Astyanax mexicanus: one gene and its partner. The protein of the gene in region 1 purifies or fractionates together with the protein of each later gene. This does not show direct contact. Links are inferred from orthologs where the notes say so. Each region holds a gene or a part of one and is shown on either strand. Other genes may lie near its edges.

Evidence for each region. Proteins that work in one complex are often made in the same cells at the same time.
Region 2: the proteins of ap1m2 (region 1) and ap1g1 purify together in Homo sapiens (affinity purification with mass spectrometry; 4 studies listed by BioGRID and IntAct, counting the BioPlex papers as one, with this or other methods). This does not show direct contact. The link is inferred for Astyanax mexicanus from reciprocal best matches to the Homo sapiens genes AP1M2 and AP1G1.

Annotation. Positions count from the first base shown.
Region 1 is NC_064412.1:31,905,120-31,913,034, reverse strand, and holds the start of ap1m2 (AP-1 complex subunit mu-2), read left to right. Parts: upstream 1-4,907; 5' UTR 4,908-5,076; coding exon 5,077-5,118; intron 5,119-7,720; coding exon 7,721-7,877; intron 7,878-7,915. UniProt on the Homo sapiens protein: Subunit of clathrin-associated adaptor protein complex 1 that plays a role in protein sorting in the trans-Golgi network (TGN) and endosomes.
Region 2 is NC_064423.1:38,501,195-38,509,099, forward strand, and holds the start of ap1g1 (AP-1 complex subunit gamma-1), read right to left. Parts: upstream 3,022-7,905; 5' UTR 2,883-3,021; intron 1-2,882. UniProt on the Homo sapiens protein: Subunit of clathrin-associated adaptor protein complex 1 that plays a role in protein sorting in the late-Golgi/trans-Golgi network (TGN) and/or endosomes.

The DNA.
Region 1 (7,915 bases):
CCTCCCATCTGTTTGGAGAGAGACCAAAATACTGGAAACTGAAGGTATAATTACCATTTTATAAAAACATTTTACATCATAAAATGATAAAATCTGACAAAAACCTCAATCTTCCACTCGCAGCATAAGCAGCAATTTGATTGGCTCTTTTTGTTGAAAGGCAAGATTTTATCTGTAAACAGAGGCCATGATAATCATAACCAGAAACCTTATTCATATTGCAGTCAGTGGCTGGTCTCCTCATTAAAAACGTCTTTTATGCTGGCCAGTTCAGTGAGTGTGTCAAACAAACCCTTTTAATTTGGCTCATAGTCACTACTAGCTATAATTTATTATAATCCTTATCAGGAAGTTAAGAGGCCATAGTTTTACTGGATCATCAAAATGCACAGTGGAAATATAGAAATCTGCTGATTCTTTATGTGTAAACACAACAATGTAGACTGGATCTACTGTCAAACTGCAGACAAGCAACAATGTTCTTTTTGGAAAACAGTGACTCCATCATTGCAACCCAGCCCATTGTTGTTCAGTGTTCTCCTGATGGCGGACTCTTATCATAAACATGAGCATATGTGAGAGAGGCCTTCAGTTGCTTAGAAGTTACCCTGGGGTCCTTTGTGACCTCGCCGACTATTACACACCTTGCTCTTGGAGTGATATTTGTTGGTCGTCTACTTCTGGGGGGGTAAAAATGGTCTTGAATTTCTTCCATTTGTACACAATCTGTTTGACTGGAGTTTGGTGGAGTCCAAACTCATTTTTCAGCCCGATGAACATCAACGATTGTTTTTCTGAGGTCCTCAGAAATCTTATTTGTTCAAGCTATGATACACGTCCACAAACAACCATGTGCTGTGAAGAGCAGACTTAAATAGGTCCCTGTTATTTACATAAAACAGGCTCTGCCCATTCACACCTGATTGTCATCCAATTAATTGAAAACACCCGACTCTAATTTCGCCTTCAAACTGACTGCTAATCCTAGAGGTTCACATACTTTTGCCACTCCCAAAAAATTGTATTACTGGATTATTTTCCTCAATAAATAAATTACCAAGTATAATATGTTTGTCGCATTTGTTTAGCTGGCTTCTCTTTATGTTTTGGGGCATATTTATGCAGAAATTCTTAAAGGCTCACAAATGTTCAAGCACCACTGTCTGAGTAGTTAAACAAAGTCATACAGAGAGAGACAGAAACTTACCACATCTAACACAGCCGTCCAAACCAACACTACAGACTGTGCCAGATCTACTGGAACATTCTGTAATACACCCAATACAGATATCTAAAGAAGATAAAGCTCGATTTCACAGTTCAAACATCCAGTGCTTCAAAGAGGGCATTGTCCTGGACACGTTATGATGAAATTCTAAAGAATAGAGCTTGATAACCCTCCATTGCTGAACTCACCCCACATAATGAATACACAGTACTGGGAAACTGGGAGCAGACTAAGCTATTGAGAACATTCTTATATTTTGTCATTGATAACAACTGCATGATGCTAAACATTCTGGTGGATTGTAATAATATTGATTTATATCTAAAATGAAGGTAATGTTAAATTTTGTTCTCTTAATAAACAGAGCAAAATTTAAATCTTGCAATATAGTCTTAACGTTTTTGATGTATGATGAAAACTGTGTATGTCCGAAATGGTGACTTTATAGGCGAAGTCAAAAGTTAATGTTGAAGTTAATGAAAAATATGAGCTTTTGGGGGATTTGTGGAATGAGAAACCTCTCTGGTGGAAATGTGTAACTGCACATGCATGTGTAAGAGTTTTAATTTTTTTTATTTTAAATGTAGATTAATGTAAATTAATTGCTTTGTAAAATGCTTTATTTTGAAGTGTATCGTTTGCTTTTTTTTTGTTCATTTATGAAATGTTGTTAAAATATAGAAAATAACTGCAGCCAACAAACCTACCAGACCACTCTTTTTCAAATTAATATTTTAGATGGAAAAATATTTTAGAGGAAAGACTCGGATATCGTTAATTAGAATATTTAGACCCCTTCCGATATATAAACAGCTCTGGAAAAAATAAGAGACCATCTAAAAATTATGAGTTTCTTAGATTTTACCGAATTGAAAACCTCTGGAATATAATCAATATTTTTGAACCAGGAGTGGCATAAAGTTACCCAAACGTAGTGTGTAAGACTGGTGGAGGAGAACATACCAAGATGCATTAAAACTGTTAATTTGGTTATTCCACCAAATATTGATTTCTAAACTCCTAAAATTTGATGTATTTGAACTTGTTTTCTTTGCATTATTTGAGGCCTGAAAGCTGCATCTTTTTTGTTATTTCAGCCATTTCTCATTCATTTTCTGCAAATAAATGCTCTAAATGACAATATTTGTATTTGAAATTTGAGAGAAATTTTGTCTGTAGTTTATAGAATAAAACAACAACTTTCATTTTATCAAACATATACCTATAAATAGCAAAATCAGAGAAACTGAGTCACAAACTGAAGTGGTCTCTTCATTTTTTCCAAAGCTTGCCTCTGGGCTGAATCTAAATATTGAGATCATAAAGAAACATCCTTGATCCACCCAGTGGATAACACACAGCAAAGCATACAGATAAGCTGACTGGCTCTTTGTTTGTTTTACCTTGGGTATCTTATATAACCTTTGTATCTATTTTTGGTCATAAAGTCATAATTCACATCCTATATTGAGTTATAAACTTGGATTAGAGGCTTCAGCATTAAAATAAATTATAAAACTTGTAGATGTGGCCTAGCGTCCCAGCTAACCAAAAATGTTATACGATCTTTCAGCAAGGTTTTGAAAAGGTTCTAGAAAGGTTAGCTTGAAACGTTGCAGAAATTATGTTCCAGAAATGTTAATAAAGGATATAATAATAGTTTGTTATACAATGTTATTAGAATATTTCATAAATAACATTTCCAGTTAGCCCTGTGCTGGAAAAGAGAACCTCTTGAAGATGAAAAAGTTCTAAATACGACCAAAGCGGGTTCCACTATTTTTACGAGCTGCTTTACATAAGAGCCCAGATGATGTGAGTGTGATTGACACCTCTAGTCAAATTCTCCTATGTGGGTCAGAGGATTCAGAGGAAGCCAGGGCTTATTTACATAGAGTATAAGCTGCTGGGCCCAACCAATAGGCCCTAAAACATAACCATAACATAACTACCAGTAAAAAGTTTTGGAACATCCCTTTTTTGAGTAGTCCAGTAGTGCTGTATGGCCCAGAGAAGCTGCTATTATATTTTCTTATCTTATCAATAACTTTATTTCTGCACTTCACCTGTCAGACGTCTAATTCTTCTTTTCACTGCTGAAACTGAGATTAATGTTAAGCTGAGCAAAAGACGTTGCCATGTGGGTCAGGCAGACCACTTCCTGTACCACTTTTCTGTCTCCAGTTTTCAGGGCTTTTTTGAAGGTGTAGGAAACATGACTCACTGTTTTTTGGCTTCATCTATAATTTATCTAAAGAACAGACTTATACTTTTAATAGTTACAGAATTATATATGTTTCTGTGTCTTTTTCTAGTTATTATGATAAAGATGTGAATGTGCTGTGTGTAAGTGTGTAAATGCTGCAGTAGAGAGTGCAGTAACACAATCTCTCCCAATACTGCTTTACTACAGACAAAGGCTTTTTACATTTATTTTATTTTTTATCCATTTTCAAAGTTTAGTTTATTTACTTTGCTACTTACCTGCTGCTGTTTGCTAATTTGTTTGCTAGAAATCACCACCACTTTTTTCTGTTAGTTTATTTGTTTTCTGCCAGTTTACTGCACAATTTTAAACAGTGGATTTTGTACCATTTCCAGGTTATTGACTGAACCTTAAAATTTGTTGTGAAGAATATGAAATGTATACCACATACATAGTATGCAAATACTTGCAGTTAAAGATTACATCATAGATTATAATATTATTTAATTGTAACTGGAAACATGCATGAAATAAAAAAATCTGGCTCTTTTTTTCAATAACTATTGTATATTTCAACCATTACTTTCTTTTAGGAGTAATCAATAAATTTGTACATTGTTTTACTTTATGCTTTTTTTTTTATAAATTAATAAATATAAGTCTAAACAGAGCTTATATTTTTTTCAAATGAAAAAAAAGAAAGAAAAACTGATTTATCCCAAAAGTTAAAAATATTTGATATATGGTTATCTGTGGCAAGGGCTCAATTAAGCTTAGCCTTGAACTAATCTGTAAGGTCACACCTAAAGGGGGGAAGTGCAAGTGTAACTGTAAATTAAGGGAATAAATCTGGAACCTGTTATATTTATAAAATTATAAACCTTATTATAAAATTATTAAACCTTTATGACATAATCTACTTTAACTAAACAAGCTGATATGATCTTATTTTTTTGTTTGTTTTAGTAATAACAACAAATTATAAAATTCTGCAGGAAATAAAGTAAATAAAATATTAATAAATAATATTAAAAATCTTAATAAATATTAATAAAAATAAAAATGTAAATAAAAATGATTTTCAGTATTTTAATAACATATATAATGTAGATAATATAGAAGTAATGTATTGGTATACTCTACATTATATTTATTTGGTGATGTTTCACTACTAATTGGATAAGAGTAATAATTATCCCATAGACCGTTAACTAATAATTACGTTTTTCTGGAATAATTTTATTGAACTATAGTAATTCACAGTCTCATTTCTAAATAATATCTTATCACTTAATCTTAGTATTTTGGTTGTTTATCAATTTACATTAATATAAATAATGTTCGCTTGTATTGAGGCAGTATTTGAGTAATGCAGCAGCGCCCCCCTGCGGTCACGGCCGCGTGGCGCAGCTGCACCGGAGCCCAGGTGAGCGCCTTTATCTCCTGTCAATGTGTTACCTGGCGTTACACGGCGTGACGTCAGCGCTCTACATGAGGAAAAAGGAACCGAGGAGTCCATGATCAGCCCGAGAGCTAAATTAACCCAGTTCATGGACTCGTTCTGGGCTTTGTCTCGTTATTAAACCGGCTGTTCACACTGTGTTTGGTGAGAGGCGCTTTAATCCGGATTGGACTTTGGGTCATGTCCGCTTCTGCAGTGTTCGTGTTGGACCTTAAAGGCAAGGTGAGGCCAGTAAACGGATAAAACTGGACTGACTGACTACCAATCAGGACAGGCCTAGGTAGTTCGTGTGTACGTGTATACGTGGAGTGTGTGTGTTTGTGTTTTAGCTTTTTACACTGAGTTTAAACCCAATGTAGTCTAGAACTGACGGTTCAGTCCTGAAACTCCTGAACCCTGACTGTGACCTAACCTTCATTCAGAAGCCTGGCTGTTTACTGTTTATATTAGCGAGCTGCTGATACATGTCTGACCTGTGACACGGCCTAACTACTGTTTACTACAGTTTAGATCAGGAAGATATGAATAAAAATCTTGATATTTTGCAAACGCAGCATGGGCATGTCAGATTTTACATAGACATGTTTAGCTAAGACACATTCATTTCTGTTGATATGAATATAGCACAAAAGGGATTCAACATCATTATGAGTCAAATAACCCTATTACACCATATGTATTCTTTTATTTTTTTATATATATTGTTAAAACTCATATCTACACTGTCTAGCCAAAAAAACAGTCGCCACCTGGATTTAACTAAGTAAATGATGTGGGGTTAATACTGCAGTTGGTCAGGTTTGGGTTCAGCAACAGTATGTGCTGAAAGAATGAGGTCAACTGACTACCTGAATATACTGAATATAGACCAGGTTATTCCATCAGTGGATTTTTTCTTTCCTGATGGCACGGACATATTCCAAGATGACAATGTCAGGATTCATGGGGCTGGAAGTGTAAAAAGTGATTCAGGGAGCATGAGATCATCATTTTCACACATGGATTGTTCACCACAGAGTCCAGACCTTAACCTCATTGAGAATCTTTGGGATGTGCTGGAGAAGGCTTTGTGCAGCGGTCAGACTCTACCATCATCAATGCTGCTGCAACATCTTGGTGAAAAATGAATGCAACACTGGATTGAAATTGCAGAAGCTTATTGAAACAATGTCACAGTGAATGCATGTGCAAAAATCTTTAAAGAAGTATATTTGGCTGAATATTTTCTTACATTTTTTTCATTTGTAACATTATGCAGATCTATTTTATTAGGGCCACCATGATAACGAAGTGATGATGTAAATAATCAGTTTATCAGGTTATCTAAATTTAAAAATGGTCTAAAAAAGGTTCCCAAATAGTGGTGTGATATGTCGTTTTTCGCCCAAATTTAAATTCATGCCATAGAGGGTTAAAACCAATGCCATTTGATAGGCATTTAAAGTGCACAGCCAGTTCATTAAAAATTATTGTTTATACACACAGAACTGTGAGGTATTTCTTTGGGCACTGCATCCTAAAACTAAGTCAGGAAAAGGTGACTGATGAATGAATAGATTGGATTTGGGAACAGAACAGGGGAGCAAAATTAATTTTAGAAATGCATGAATATTTTTTTTATAATGAATGCATTTCCACCTAATTACTTTTACAATCTGTTATTTTATCCTACCTATATGTTTGTGCTTATTACTAGACTCATTGTGACTTTTAATTTTAAGACGGTGGCACCCTGAAGGTACTGTGTGTATGAACAGTGTTTTGTTTTTATAACACTATCTGTGCACTTTTACATTTCTTAGTGCCTTGATTTTAAATGCCAGGGCCCTTGGAATTTTACCAATGAAGTGTGGAGCTACTTTAAGCTTTTTAATGTTGTAAAAAAAAATAGTGATGTTTTTGCATGGGCAAGGCCATACCCCTATCACTAGCATTCTAAGCTTGTTGTCACCATCGGCTAAAAGCTCTGTTTTTTGGAATGCTGGGAGTAAATGGAGGTGTTTTTTTTAAACAAACATTTGTTCATGACACGTTATCAAGTTTTACTACAACTCAAGTCCATTTCACACTGGATTACTCCTTTAAATTTTGTTGTCATCTCATTAAATATTTATTGTAATATTATGTCATTTATTTTAGTATAAGCATTTCTATTTGGTTTATCAGTAATATCCCCCATCTATAGGAGAACAATCAGTTTTTAAAAGTATTTCTGTTTAAAGCAGAAAAAAGGGTAGGCATAACTATTTAAGGCACTTTTAAAGGAGAATTTTGATAGCTAGATGATTGAGGCCTGTGTCAGAACATCTCCAAAATATCAGGCAGGTCATTAGGTGGAATGCTTCTGATATGCAGTAGTCAGTACCTTCCCAATATTTCTCAAGGAAAAGAAAACCTGTGAACTGACAACAGGTGAGGGAAATGTGAGAAATGAAGAGCCGTTTGGTCTAGTCTCATGGAAGAGCTCATATTTCATAGGCCCCCCCTTATGCCGCCACAACAGCTCTGACCCTTTGAGGCATGATGTCCACAAGACCTCTGATGGTTTCCTGTGAGGAAACAGGCATCAACACAGTAGGAACAGATCCTTAGTCCTGTAAGTTGTGAGGTGGAACCTCCATGAGCATCAGTGACTAAACACTTGCTGCTTAATATATTATATTAAAGTGCTAACCTTGATAGGAGCCACTGGAACCACATAATCCATGTTATTCTCATTGATTCATCAGTAGTTTTAATGTTATGGCTGAACTTTTTTTCTGTATCTGGTCAAACTATTTTTAAACCTCCATCCCTTTCCCTTTTCTTCCTTCTCACACTACAGGTGTTGATATGTCGCAACTACAAAGGCGATGTGGACATGGCCGAAATAGACCACTTCCTTCCCCTGCTGATGCAACAGGAAGAGGAGGGGCTCATGTGCCCTGTTATTTCACATGGCAGCGTCCACTTCATGTGGATCAAGCACAGCAACCTGTACTGTATCCTTAATTTTGCCCAGTTTATCATATCAAATTTA
Region 2 (7,905 bases), on another chromosome or scaffold:
TGCAAAATGAGCTATACTAGCTCGCTAGCAGGCCTTAGCTTAGCCTTAGACTAGCTCACTAGTTTGCTAGCTAGCTCCCTAGCTAGGCAGCTCACTCATTCCCACCTCTTTAAAGAAACTAGCTAGGCAGCCTAGATAGATAGGTAGGTAACTAGCTAGTTAAATAGGTGAGCTATATACCGATTAATTTAGCGGTAATACAATTGATTGACCTTCTTTCCTCGATTTGACATTTTCTCCTAGTTCTTAAGTTTCCTACTTTTTCAGTCACAGTGAAGTGTGCTTGAGTTAAAGATAAATAACTAACTAGCAAGCAATGCATCAAAGGAGCATAGCCAAGGATAGGATACAGAAAGGGATTAGATACAGTTCAATCAACCTGAATCCTGCTTAATAATGAAGAAAGCTGCAAGTCTGAAACCTTGATTCACATTTATATACATATATACTTACATAAAAAGGTTTATCAAGTATCAAGCTCAGCACAAGCTAGGTTTGTTTACAACTGGTTAGTTAGCTAGGTTAATCGATAAATTAACCTAATCACGAGCTAGGTTTTTCCACACATAATTCTGCATGTGTCCCTGTAAAACTTTAATATAGTCTTAAATATTAAGTTAACACTGTAAAAAAAAGATTTTAATTTGTTTCTTGAGATTGATGTGCTAATTTCCTGTAAATTGCAATGACTTTGAAACCAATAAAACATTAAATAACAAAGAAAGAAGACAAACTTGTAAGGCAACCTAGATAGTTAGACAGGTAGGTAACTAGCTAGTTAACTGGCCAGTTTAGCTAACTCTTTTAGCTAACTACAGTTTAAACAAAATTAATTAGGTAGTTAATACATTTGAGCTTCTTTCCTCAACTTTTCCTCCTAGTTCCCTAGTTTCTAGTTCTTCTTAGAGTGAAGTGTGCTTGACTTACAGATATCTAAACATAACTTACTAGCAAGACATAAAGGGAGAAACCTAACTAGGTTAGATAACGTTAACTAATGTCGTTGTTACCTCAGATGAAAGATCTCTTAAAAAGGAGAAATCTGCATGTTTGAACCCTTTCTTTTTTGTGAAAACTACATGACAAAGATCTTCAATGTGAGTAAACACTTATAACATTGCTATTTTAATGCTCAAAACCTGTTCCGTCACTTTAAATTACTTTAAAAAGGTGCACAATTGGGCCTCCAAAGGCTAGATAGCCTCCAAGCTACGTTGTCCACTCATTCCAACAGCTTAAGCTTTAAAAAGGCAAGTTAGGCAGTGGGGGTGGGCGATATGGCTCTAAAATAATATCACGATATTTCAGGGACTGTTTGGCAATAACAATATACTTGGTGATATAGAAAAACTAAAATAATTCATTAATTTCAGGAATATAGTATAATAGTATAATCATAATGTGGCAAAATAAATAATATAGCATTAGATAATATAATGCCGCAAATAATACAGCAGAAAATTTAGTGCATGCATATGAACTGCAAACTAAAACAATTATACAATAAACACACTTAAAGCTTTGGAGTAAATAATAGACTACTTTTAAGACAGAACAGCCCAATTATCACGATATGAATTTTTAATATCATGATATTTCTGTGTCATGGTATTAGCCAGATAACTAGCTGGTTATATGCGTTGGCTAACTTAGATACTTCAGCTAACTAAGTTACATCTCAAAAACGGATTAATTTAGCGGTTAAAACATTTTCTTGACCTTTTCCTCAACTTGACGTTTCCTCCTAGCTCATAGTTCCCAAGTTCTTGTCAGAGTGAAGTGTTTCATTGCTCTTTTAATGCTAAAAAACTTTTTTTTTTTTTTTTTTTTGCTTTATGTTACCTGGTAAGCTACAAGGCCTCAGCTTAGGCAAGCTCAGTAGTTAGCTAACTAGTTCCCTAGCTCGACTGTTCACTAAAAAGACTACTTAGGCAGCCTAGGCAGTCAGCTACCTAGTAGTAAACTAGGCTAGCTAACCTAACGCTACCTTCTTCAACTTACTGCAGTTTAAAAACGGATTAATTCATTTATTGCCCTTCTTTTCTCAACTTGACGTTTCCTCCTTGTTTCTAGTTCTTGTCAGAGAGAAGTGTGCTTAATAGCAAGCTAGCTAACCTAGATAGCTACCTAGCAAGGCCTCAAGGGACCATAGCTAAAGACTGGATACGAATTAGCCAGCTAACTAACCGAGCAACCTAACTACCTAGGCAGGCTATCTAGCTAACGTTACATTACCCGGATGGCAGCTGCCTTTTATTATGAAGAAAGCTGCAAGTTTTAAAGCTAATTTTACACGAATTTATTTATATATGCATGTTTAAAAGGTTTAAATATACGTAGCAAGCTAAGCACAAGCTAGGTTTGTCAGTATGGACACGCCTGATGCCCAATCAGAGGCTTTCCTAGCAAATCCAGTCCGTGAAGTGACACTCCGCGCCGGAATTTCGTTCTAACTACATCGACGGGTCGGCTGCAGCTGAACTGCAGCATATCCGTTTACGCAGTTAGAACGAAACGCCGGAACTGGATTTTCAATCCACGGATCTGGATTAGCCACGGCCACTCATTGCTCGCTATTTTCACCGATTTATCTCACTAAGCACGCGTTTTAAAGTGTACAAAACTGCACCCTCGCCTACTCAACCTTCTCCGACTCGTGCCGTTAAGTTTGTGACTCGCTAAACGCCGTTCTTGAGTTTTTTAAACCTGTAATAAACGTTACTCGCCTTAGCTGCTCTACTTCCCGAGCCCCCTTACTCAGCCTTTACAGCCGCGGACAGTGTTAAAATAGCGCCGTTTCGAGGCGGCCCGGGAAGCCGCGAGCTCCATTACCGTCCTAACGGGTCTTTTATCGCTGTGGTTCCGAAAGACACCGTACTCACCAGCCGTACTGACACCAGGAAAGCGCTGGAATCGTCTCTGTTTGCGACGGAGGGAGGAACGGACCAGACATTCAAAATGGCGGCGGCCCTAGCCTCAGCACTTCTACTGCAGGCGGAAGGATACAGCGCGGAATCGTCTCCCACCGAACTTCAAGGTGGAAGCAGCGCGCGCGCGCATGCACACATGCACGCGCAGGCAGGAAGGACAGCACACATATATTATACACACAGATACATAGATAATTACAAATATATTACATGTATTTTATTATTTATTCTACCAATAATAATAGTTATAAAATGTTATTGTATCATATTTCAGTATTAAATATATTTTAAATTAATTTAATTTGATATAAGATATTGTGTACAATTATAGAATTAGTAAATTCCTCTAAATTCAAGTTTAAAATATTCACTTTTGCATGGTTATATATATATATATATATATATATATATATATATATATATATATATATATATATATACCCATGCAAAAGTGAATATTTTAAACAAAAAAAACGATTAATTATACAATTATGTATAATTATTTAATAATTATACAATTATTAAAAAAAAGCAATCAATTATACTGATATACTGAATATTTCAAGATAATCGTGCATCTATAGTTTTAAGTGATTTAATGTGCTAAAACGGTCTTATTGTACTGGCAAATAATATTGCTTACTCCAGGAAATAACTGATAATATTTTACTTTTAGTCAAGACATAATGATGAAACAGACACAACAATCTGCCATAGAATAAGACACTTTCAGTAGTTTAAATTATTCAGTAGATTAAATTACTTAAAATGTTATATATATATATATATATATATATATATATATATAAAAGATTTTAAGTAATTTATATATTATTTTAAGTAGTTATATATATATATATATATATATAACATTTTAAGTAATTTAATCTACTGAATAATTTAAACTACTGAAAGTGTCTTATTCTATGGCAGATTGTTGTGTCTGTTTCATCATTATGTCTTGACTAAAAGTAAAATATTATCAGTTATTTCCTGGAGTAAGCAATATTATTTGCCAGTACAATAAGACCGTTTTAGCACATTAAATCACTTAAAACTATAGATGCACGATGATCTTGGAATATTCAGTATATCAGTATAATTGATTGCTTTTTTAAGAACAATATGTGAAATTTCTCATTTTGCATGGTTGTCAGAATTTTAGAAAAAAAAGACATACATTGCCAGTCGTTTGGACACATCTTCTCATTGTTCTCATTGTCTCATTGTCACATCTTCTCACAATGTTGTTATTTTTCTTTCCTTTCTCTACATTGTAAATGAATATTGAAGTGATTCAAACTATGAAGGAAAACATAAGGAATCATGTAGTAATTTAAAAGTGTTAAACAAACCTGTGAAAAAGCATTTAGGTGCTCTTATCTGGGGAGCTGTTAACTTGTGGTTTCTGAGGATGGTAACTCTGATTAACGCATCCTGTACAACAGAGGGAACTCTTGCTTTTCCTTTCCTGGGGCGGTCCTGATGAGTATCAGTTCCATCATAATGTTTTTTTGCGACTGCACTTGAGGATTCTTTCAAAGTCCTTGAAATGTTTTGAATTGACTGACCTTCATTTCTTCTTAAAGTCATTTTTTTCTTTATTTAGTTGAGTAGTCTTTAGTCTTCACTATTTACAACTGATGCTCTCAAACACATTAAGAGACAAGAAATTCAAGTAATTAACTCTTGATGAGTTCAGCACAGCTGTTAACTGAAAGCCTGAAATCCAGGTGAATCTACCTCATAAAGCTGACTGAAAAAATCCAGCAGAGATGTGTGAAGTTGTTATCTAATCAAGAAGAGCTACATTAACAAATCTAAAATTTAAAACATATTCTGGTTTGTTTAATACATTTTTGTTTACTAAATAATTTAATATGTTTTTCTTCATAATTTGGATATTTGCATTTTAGAATAATCAAAAGTTATTGCATTTCTAAACTATTTTCCTTAAGTACTTATCATAAACTTTAAAAGGATTAAGCGACGCTGGTCATTCTACTACAATGGGCTGTGCTACTTTTAAATCCATTTATTTTAGGTAGTGTTTAATTTTTTTTAATTAGTTTCAGTACATATACTGCTTTATTTAATTTAATAATTAAAAATTAGGGTTTAAAGCTGTTAACAGTGTATTTAAGAAAAAAATGGCTAAGTAAATCTGAAACCAAAAAATGTGAAAACAAAATTCTCAGGAGAAACCCTTAATTGTATTGTATCTGCATCGGCAGATACATAAATGTATAATATCGTATATAAGCATCGGCCCCCGAAATTCGAAACATCAGAAACATCTGTGCATCTCTACTTAAAACAAGTACAAGGAAATTAAAAATAAGTTATTAATTACTGCAATGTTACTTTAATAATATCAGAGTAAGAAATGTTATTAATTTAGATTTATATTTTTTGCAGTATGTATAGCATTAATTATTGTGAATAAATAAAAAGAATTATATAAAAATAGTCTATGTTTATACATTAAATGCCCAGAATTTAGAATTAAAAAAATGGTGTATATTTAATACACTAATAGCTTTGGAAATGAACATTTTTTAAAATCAATTTTCAAAGCTAATTTTATTTGCATTGATTCGGGCCAGCTGTAAGCTGTTTACCAATTAACTGTTCGCTAAAGCTCACCCCTCTTTTTTAAATTAGATTTTTCAGGTTTTTTTTTTTTTTTTTACAATACACCTTTACAATATACTAATATTTTGTACACTAGATGTTGTACCATTTCCAGGGAAAATAATTGGGGGTGTTCTAAAACTTTTGACCGGTAGTCTATAATAATAAATAATTATTAATAAATAGAAAAGAACAGTCATTTGAACAATGTTATTTATAATAATAATATTTCTAATATTCTTAAATAAATGTACATACATAGGATAGAAACAATACAATTAACAACATTAAACAGCACTTACATGACTGCAGGAACATCCTTACTGAAGCTCAAACTGGTTAAACTGGGTTAAATTTTTACCATAATCAACCTGACCAAGCTAAATAACCAGTATAATCAAACTTCACCAAATCTGGTTTACCAGCAAGACCAAGCATGACAAAAAGTCAACCTTAAATGATTAAGTGGCACCAGTGAGCTGAGCTTTACTTTAGTTTCTTGTAATGAATTCTGCTAATTGCACTTGGATTTAAACAAATAAAGCATGACTAATATTTATGACTAATCATTCATGGCTACTGATATGATACATGCTGTACATTTATGGTGAATAAATAATAAACAGCAAAACCGCTTGCCAAAGAAAAATCACCATAACCTTTTAGAAATTACAGACTCTTTCAGTTTAAAACAATTCTCAGACTTTTAACATATTCTACTTTAGCTAATTCTTCGTTATTAATATGACATTTCTGGCAAGAACAAACAAATTCACAGATAATTGCGTATGTTTTGTGTCTTTACTTAGAATGCATTATAATGCATGTAAGAGAAACTTTAGAATTATAGTTTTCACCACAGCTTCCAAAAGAAAACGTACAAATATTGCTCACATCACAATATTTAATCAACACAGAACTGCACAGATTAAATATTACAGAGAATTTTTATTATATTTATTTAATTTTTTCTGAATTCATCTCTCTAAATAATCAACTCTATACTCTGATTTTTATAATACAATATATAGAAGGAATCAACCAATCTTTCAATAACAGCAATATATAGATATTAAATAGGAAATAAGTAGATAATATAATATACAGTATATTATACATTATCAGTCAAATGTTTGGAAACACCTTACATTCAGTGGCAAAATAAATTGAAGATTAATATTATTAATATTAAGTCATTAAAAATATGATTTTTTTCAAAAAGATTTTTCAAAGTAGCACCTCTTGCTTAGATGACAGCTTTCCACATTTTGCATCACACAATGGCTTTCAGTTAACAGCTGTGCTGAACTCGTCAAGAGTTAATTACTTGAATTTCTTGTCTCTTAATAAAGTGTTTGAGAGCATCAGTTAAAGTAAAGTAGTGAAGAGGTAGAGTTACAGGTATACAGTGAATAGTGAATATTGAGTAATGTTCGAATCCAGATTATGAGAAGCAAGAACTACTCAGCTAAATAAACAAAAAAATTATTTAAGAAATGAAGGTCAGTCAATCCAAAACATTTCAAGAACTTTGAAAGAATCCCGAAGTGCAGTCGCAAAAAAAAAAAAAAATTGTCGGTTCAACATGATGAAACTGGCTCTCATCAGGACCACCTCAGGAAAGGAAGAACAAGAGTTTCTTCTGTTCTACAGGATCATTTCATTACAGTTACCAACCTCAGAAACCAACCAGCAAGTTAATAGCTCCCCAGATGAGAGTAAGGGTTTGTTAAACACTATTAAGTTACTACATGATTCCTTATGTGTTCCTTCATAGTACTGGATGACTTCAGTATTCATTTACTATGTAGGAGAAAAAAATATATAGCTGTTTTTATGATTATTATTATTATTATTATTGGACTAATCTAAGGAACTAAATAAAATTACATAACAGATAAAATAAATAGTTTCTTTTTTTCATTAATTTATTTATTTATTCCACATATACAAACAGAGAAAATATATTATTCACGTCAACTATACACCAGTTTATACCTTAAACTCGTGCAGTATATAGAGTATTTAGTGTATTTTGTGTCTGTTATTATGTCACTATAATAAAGTGACAGACCAGGAAGCTACAGTTATCCACCTGTCTGTTTATAATATAGAACTCCAGTGATTTATCACCGTAAATCACGTTTAAACCGGGTAAATTATCTGCAGGGTTGAGCTGTTGCACAGTTTTATTATTTGTACGTGTTTTAAGATCTAACCTATTAACGATAAGTAATGAGTTCAGCGCTGCTGGTGCTACGTGTCAGTTCGGCGGAGGACTAACAGGCGCTGGAGGGCGGTGCTGCGGCCTGCGCCTAACCTCGTGGCAGTGTATGATGAC